2 linked regions of the Ovis aries genome follow. Each later gene encodes a partner of the first gene's protein in a complex. Links are inferred from orthologs where the notes say so. Each region holds a gene or a part of one and is shown in the gene's direction. Other genes may lie near its edges.

Region 1 (3,814 bases):
TGAGGCTGAGACATCTCATTAAGCCAAGGTCCCCCTTGATGAGTGGGCCAGTGGGCTGATGGACAGCCAAAGGCTCCTTCACGCTTTTCCCACTTGGTTGTTCACTCTGCCCCCAGTGAATACAACCATTAAGTAGGTTGAATAGGCCTCTTTTCATCACGGCTACCTCCTTTCCTAATAAGAATGACAAGGAAATTGGATAAAATTGAACTCCTTCAATTCTGAGACACTTTCAATTGAATCTTAAGACAAGCAGTTTTAGAAAACTTAAAATACTTTGACTGTAAATGGCACTGTACGTAGAAATGGCACCAAATTAACCAAATGCAATTAGCTGAAATGAAGGCAGTAATGGTGGAAAAATTGATGCAAAGTGAAGCAAAAAGGCTCAGTAGGATCTGACATTCAAAGGAGGTTAAAAGCTACGTTAGCCAGAGACAAAAGCTAAAAGGCTTACAGAAGTACAGTGCTAATTGAGAAAACGGAGAGAGAGTTCCTGACCTAGAATTGCGATAAAACCCCGAAAGGAAAAATATCAGCGCTTTCTGTGTTGGAGTGTCAGAAAAGGCAGGCGTGTCTTAGATGAACGGCTGAGAAGTGCGATTCCTTCAGAAGCATTTTCCTCTTTTGTCCTCCCGGGAGCCCTCCAGATCCACCCAGACCAGAAAGAGCCCCCGCAGCACTAAACTTGCAATCATTTGCTGAGCGAGCTGGGTGAGCCCGGCATCTGAAAGGCAGGGACTTGTTAACATGAAAGTCTGGATGAAAAGAGCCCCACACACAAGACACACGCACACAGCCTGCCACAGCTCATGTGCGGTGCTTTGCAAATCAGACGTGGAGGCTTCTGAAAATGAACAGTATCTAGGTACAATAGTCTGTGGCCCGATTTTGAATTTATCAAAGGGATCCCGATTGGTTTTCCGCATTGGACCTCTAACAATGGAGCTGTGTCATTTCTCATAGAGGATTCCCCAAACCCGTGGCAGATGCTGGGAGGGGCACGGGAGATGTAGGTATAAAGGAGGGAGTCCGAGCCTGGGGGCATTCACAGTCTGGTTCCAGGTGAGGAACAACTCACCCGTGCCATGGGATGAGGGTGTCCAATAGCAGGGGGAGCAGGGGTGGCAGAAGACAGCACAGGAGGGAGCAAAGATGCAGGCCTGGCTCAGGGACCAGCTCTGCTAAGCATCCTCAACCTCATTCTTCTCCACACAATGGGGGCAAGGCGGCAGAGGCAAGGTGGGGGAAGGTCTTACCTGCCTGTCTAGGTGGGCTGAGAGAGGTGGCACCATCACACAGACAGGTGACCATCATTAGGTAAATCAGTGGGAGAAAACAGACCCCAGGAGTGACCGAGTCTACACGGTCCAGGAGAGATCGAGATCGCACACATTCTGCTGGGGCTTCGGCTTCTATTTCCCACCTTCCTTTCTTTATCCCACCCACCGGTTTTATTAAGAGTGCTGAGGAGCCTCTCATACAAGCACCCTGGTGAGGGAGGAAGATGGTGGGCGAGGACACACCCACTCCACCTGCACGCTGCTGACACAGGGCGCGCCCACATACACGCAGTGCAAGAGCATCTCCCAAAGGTGCCAGCCCCTCGGGTGGCACACACAACACCCCATTGCCCACTGAAGCTCGCCATCAGATCCGCGCTTTCATCAGGTGCGGCGTTCAAGTAGCATTTCTATTTGCAGAGCAAACAGTGAAACATGAGTTGTGTGTTTAGACCAGGTGGCAGCAGGAGGCAGTGCTCCCACCGGGGGTCATTAACAGGAAAGCCGGGAGTTAGTCCTCCAAGCTCAGCAAGCATCTCCGTTGCTGAAATGGCACATTCTAATAAGCCTCAGAAAAAGCGGCCTCTCCTCTCCTGGAACCAGAAGCCTACATCAAACAAGAGCGGGACTCACAGTTGAATTTCAAGCTCTCAGGTGTATTTAAGGAACTTATTAATATAAGCCATTAAAATAAACTAGGGGGAAAGAATTGGAATTTGAAGTTGGGGGGGGGGGGAAACTGCCAGATTATGTGGACAGACAGCAGCTTCATTGTTATCAGGCAGTTATAGTAACCAAAGCATCATCCACCAGAAGTCTTCCTGCTCCAATGGTAAATAAATAAGAATATATCTAAATATTTACATTTACTCTCTGTGTTCACACACATGTGGCTCAAGTCTTAAAATTGCATGGAAATAGGTCTTCCAGTACATCTGATCTGCTTGCAATGGTGTAGAGACCAATGCAGGTCATAGCCCGTGTCCATGTGACCATGCATTCTAGATAAGTGGTATCCGACTATTGAGGTTTCCAGTTTCCAGCACAAACGTCCTTTCACGGATGCCAAGAGCAGAGCCTTTCAACACCACTGAGGTTACCTACCATTACCCACTTCACCACCACCACCGCTGCACAATTGGGTTCTGGTGCTCTGGCCAGGAGAGGTTTGAGAGCAGAACTTGATGGAAAAGAGACAGAGGTTCATCCATCTGGCCATTCCCCAACACAGCTTTTTGTCACAGCAGGAGATGGCAACTTCATCTACTCCCAAGCTGATGAAAACCAAAAGGGCAAAGTGGCTCGCCTGGTGAGCCCCGTGGTTTATTCCCAGAACTCTGCCCACTGCATGACCTTCTGGTATCACATGTCTGGTTCGCACGTGGGCACGCTGAGGGTCAAGCTGCGCTACCAGAAGCCGGAGGAGTATGACCAGCTGGTCTGGATGGCCATCGGACACCAAGGGGACCACTGGAAAGAAGGGCGTGTCCTGCTCCACAAATCTTTGAAGCTTTACCAGGTGAGCCCCCTTTCCTTGGTCGGGGCAGGCAGCTGCTTCGGGGGCACTGGGATGCTGTTTGAAAGCTATGCAAATGAGATGCAGGAATCATTCCAAAAATTATTTCAGGTGTGTCCTCAACCTGAGATACCGATGCACCAATGATCATCTAGGTAGCATTATTTCTTAGTCTCCTAGTTGACAGCCAGGGGACTGATTGCTGAGAAAGAAGGGAAATGCTACCCTATAATTATTTAGGGCTGTCACAATCAACATTCCTTTTATTTGCTGCTCTTCCTAGTTTTAGATTCTGTGTCACACAAAGAGAATGTGAGGAGAAGTTTTATACCATCCTCAAGCAGTTAATATGGATTGAAGAGCAAATCGCGTGCTCGTTCGAAATCTCATGAATTTCATTTACGTGCTGTGACTTGAGCTGCACAAACATATGTAAACACTGTTATTTGGGACCAAACATTTAAATACTGTGGAAATGATCTCATTTTGTTAGGTGATTTTTGAGGGTGAAATCGGAAAAGGCAACCTTGGCGGGATTGCGGTGGATGATATTAGCATCAATAACCACATCCCTCAAGAGGACTGCGCAAGTAAGTATGGGTTGCTGTAGAAACCAATGCGGTGCTTGCTCAGGGCATGAGTCTTTCCACTTTATGGTCTTTGTCATGCTCACTTAGACCTAGAATTTTAATGTGGGCTATAAGCACGTCCTATAGATGTGCTTGCTTTGATACAACAAGGCATAAAGCCAGGTCAGTCTACCTTCAGCTACCGCATCATCTAACCTGGTTCACTTAGAATGTTTGGTTAGTATTCACGGAAGTACACCAATAATGTGCAACCAAAAATCATAGCAAAGAAGAAACTCACAATTTCCAGGCCATGCCTAAACATTGTGATGAAAAGTGGAAAACTCAGATATCTGGGTAATTCCAGATATCTCAATGTATAAACAAAATAGGAAGCCTTTCAAATTTTTCATCACAGTGGATTTAATGAAGATTATATTGTGAAT
Region 2 (3,814 bases), on another chromosome or scaffold:
TGTGAAGCAAGCCTTGCATAATGAATAATTTCTCACCATTTTTAAACACCTGCCCCTATCGCCCTCTCCTGGGCCCCTGGAATAATTCCGGGCCCTGTTAACCCCACACAGAAATGCCACTGCAAAGCCAGGATTACTCACCTCTACCCCTTCTACCCATCAGGCTGTCAGAAAATCTGTTTTCTGTTTCACTTGGCCCCTACCCCTAAGTCACTCACTCACACCCCCTTTCCTCTCTGGGGAGGTCAGCAGGAGCCACCTTTGAAAGCTCTCCCGTTACAGACTGCAGGACAAAGGCACCATCGGTGAGAGGTTAGAGCCAGAAAATTGTCAGGCGCTTCTTTTTTTTTCATTCTTTGTAATCAGAGAGGTTGAGTGATTTGCGCCAGGTCACACAGCGCGATCTAGGCAAAGCTGAAAAAGGAAGGCTCTTTCCTAAGCTTCTTCCCATCTTTGCGCGGATCTCAGGGTGAGCCAGCATCAGAGCCAGGATAAGCCTTTCCTGGGCTTGGTGGGTGCCACGGGGCTGCCAGGTTCGAGATCAGCAGGGACCGGGTGAGCGGGCCCGCGAACGCGCCCGCGCAATGGTACTCGTGTGTCCCGGCGCTTCCCCGCCCGTGTGCCCAGAGACAGCCGAGGCCGCCCCTGTCAGGCCGCCGGGCTGCGGGCTTCGCTTGACACTTCTCCTCCCCTTGTGTTATTGATCGAGGCCTCTCCGAGCGGAGGTGGCCTGCCCGCTTCGAGGAGCTGAGTGGGTTCAACTTTTGGTGCTGAATTCTTTATGGGAGTAGAGTAGGGAGAAATCTTCATTTAAATGCAGATACAGGCTTCTCACCTGGGACTAAGGAAAGTTTTTTCCATTAAAATGCTAATGAAAGAACAAACTGAAACTCCAAATCCTCAGCTCACAGAGCCGTCCCCCGCCCCCCCCCCACCCCACCCCCAGTCCGACTCTTCACTCCATCCCTTGACCTTTCTTTGCTTCTTCTGCTGGGTTTCTGTGGAACTCACACATCCTGTGGCCCTGGCTTCTGGGAGCTTTCAGCAGCTCTCTGTGAGAGGCCTGTGGACGGGGCGACTCATCTTCTTGAAAGGAACCCATGCTGTAGACTGGTGAGGGGGTGAACTCCAGCCCCGGAGTTGTGTCTCAGGCCACTGCTTCACTCCGCTGCTGCCGAGTCGCTTCAGTCGTGTCCGACTCTGCGACCCCATAGCCGGCAGCCCGCCAGGCTCCCCTGTCCCTGGGATTCTCCAGGCAAGAACACTGGAGTGGGTTGCCATTTCCTTCTCCAGTGCGTGAAAGTGAAGTCGCTCAGTGGAGTCCGACTCTTAGCGACCCCATGGACTGCAGCTCACCAGGCTCCTCCATCCATGGGATTTTCCAGGCAAGAATACTATGACCTTGGAAATTTAACATCTCTGACTCTTGTCTTTAAGATGGGCAATGATGCCTACCTTGTAGAATTGATAGAGCGATTAAGTGTATATATATGTGTATATATATATATATGAAGGGCATATGTACCTGCTTGCTGGGAGGCTTCCATGACTAAGGATTCTGGAAGGCGGCTCCAGGATGGGGCGCTGCCTTGGGCCTGCCCAGAAGCATCCTCAGGCCAGATCCTTTCCTGCACAGACGCTGACTCTCTCAGACCTGAAGCCTAGCCGGGGGCCCAGGTCCGGAGGCACACAGGTGACCATCACGGGCACCAACCTGAACGCAGGCAGCAACGTGGTGGTGATGTTCGGCAAGCAGCCCTGCCTCTTCCACAGGTAACTCACCTCAGGGCCAGCTCCAGGGATCCTGGCGCAGAGGGTGGGCGGGGCTGACTCCAGCTGGCCTTTTGGAGGTGCTTCTTCCTTCCTGAGAAAGTGACCATTCTCTCTGAGAGGAGACTTTATGGGCATGCTTGGCTGTGGCTCATTCCGGGGACCTGCCAGGGATCCCTACCCTGGATGGACCTGTCATGCTGTCTCCTACCATTTAGCCTGGGTGCCCCCATACCACCCGCTGTGCAGGACCCTAGGGTTCCATAGGACAGGGTTTGGAATCTAGGGTTATCTGCCCCCTGGGTTAGCTCTGGGCAGCTACTGCAGTGCCAGCCAGGACTGCTAAAACCTGGCCGAGTGTCACAGAACCTCCAAAGGCAACCGACTTTCTTTTCCTTCCTCTAGTTCCAGTGTCCAGTCCCAGGAGGACACACCTTCCAGGAACCAGGAGCCAGGAACCTGGGGTGGGGTGAGGGTTGGGAAGGAGGCGGGAGGTGAGAGGTACATCTAATCCATAGCTAGAAGAGATGTGGTTGGCAGGAAGCTCTGCAGAGAGATTGTCCTCTGCAGAGAGAGATCATCCTGGGAGAGCGCTATACTGAGGGCCTGATCTAAATCAGGCCAGGCCAGACCTTGCCTGAGTGTTCCAGAAAACATGGCTCTGACACTTGTTAAAATGGTAAGAAAGAGCTTGTTCAGGACTGCTGCAATAGGTGTCAGGACTATCGCAATGGGGCTAGAGATCAGACTTCAAATACAGCAGATAGCTGGGGATTTATAGCCAAGGAGCAGTGAGGGAGGCTGAGGATGGAAAATTACTAAGAGGAAACAAGGTTAAGAGGATTCTTGCTAAACCGACTTAACAAGACTCTTGCTGAAGGCAGTCAAGGTGATCAGGTATCAAGAGTGAGGGAGACAGAAGCTGCCCAGATATCAGGGGTACTTAGATATCAGGGTGGGGTGGGGGATTCTTACTAAATTGAGTTAGCAGGATTCTTGCTAAAAATGGGAGTAGGCTAGTGGAAGGCAGGACCCCAGAAAGAAGCCTAGTCAAAAAAGCAGGCTCCGAGGAACCTGTCTATAGTTGGGTCAAGGACAGAGTCTTGATCAGTAGATCTCAGATTAGTAGTGTCCAGGGCAGCGCTCACCCACTGCCCCCAAGGAGTCTGATGAACAGGGAGGGGTGCAGGAGGGCCCTGACCCCAGACCACGGTCCTGCCCGACACCCAGGATCCCAGCTCTCTGTCTCCCCTCCTCCCTCCAGGCGCTCTCCATCCTACATCGTCTGCAACACAACGTCCTCAGATGAGGTGCTGGAAATGAAGGTGACGGTGCAGGTGGACAGGGCCAAGATCCACCAGGACCTGTTCTTCCAGTACGTGGAGGATCCCACCATCGTGCGGATCGAGCCCGAGTGGAGCATTGTCAGGTAGGGGCTGCCCCGACCTTGGGTTTCCCTCCTTGAGTCTCAGAAACCTAGGAGATGGACTGGGCTTGGTGTGGGTCAGATGTTCCGGCAGGGGTTCCCTCTTTCTACTGAGAACGCCTCTGAGCGGGACCCGGCCCTGGAGGCCAAACTCTGGCCAGCAGGAGCTTACAGTCCCCGATTTGAGGATTGGTGGGCAACTAGGAAAATGGTGAGCGCTCTGGATTCTGAACCCAGCTATCCGAGTTCAAATCTTGGTGGGAATTTTGGGCTTCCCAGGTGGCGCTAGTGCTAAAGAACCTGCTTGCTGATGCAAAAAACATAAGGGATGCAAGTTCGATCCCTGGGTAGGGAAGATCCCCTGGAGAAGGGAATGGCAACCCACTCCAGTATTCTTGGCTGGAGAATCCCATGGACAGAGAAGCCTGGAAGACTACAGTCCAAAGGGTTGCACAGAATCAGACATGACTGAAGCGACCTAGCACACACGTATGCACGGGTAACTAGGAGGCTGGACGGGGCTGCTGAGGGCATCCTGACGGCATGGATGCTCCCTGGTGATCATTGGGAAACCTTTGTATCAATGCCTGGGTAGGGGGGCAGGGTGGGAAGTAGACT

The links.
Region 2: the proteins of NRP1 (region 1) and PLXNA4 are in contact, whole or in part, in a cryo-EM structure (PDB 7M0R), measured with the Mus musculus proteins. The link is inferred for Ovis aries from reciprocal best matches to the Homo sapiens genes NRP1 and PLXNA4. Residues at the interface, in NP_032763.2 of Mus musculus: Arg80, Tyr84, Asp126, Tyr127, Glu128; in NP_786926.2 of Mus musculus: Glu272, Lys340, Lys343, Lys345, Leu349.

The regions. Positions count from the first base shown.
Region 1 is NC_056066.1:19,103,024-19,106,837, forward strand, and holds part of NRP1 (neuropilin-1), read left to right. Parts: intron 1-2,527; coding exon 2,528-2,802; intron 2,803-3,292; coding exon 3,293-3,389; intron 3,390-3,814. UniProt on the Homo sapiens protein: Cell-surface receptor involved in the development of the cardiovascular system, in angiogenesis, in the formation of certain neuronal circuits and in organogenesis outside the nervous system. Mediates the chemorepulsant activity of semaphorins.
Region 2 is NC_056057.1:97,513,312-97,517,125, reverse strand, and holds part of PLXNA4 (plexin-A4), read left to right. Parts: intron 1-1,636; coding exon 1,637-1,773; intron 1,774-3,034; coding exon 3,035-3,199; intron 3,200-3,814. UniProt on the Homo sapiens protein: Coreceptor for SEMA3A. Necessary for signaling by class 3 semaphorins and subsequent remodeling of the cytoskeleton. Plays a role in axon guidance in the developing nervous system. Class 3 semaphorins bind to a complex composed of a neuropilin and a plexin.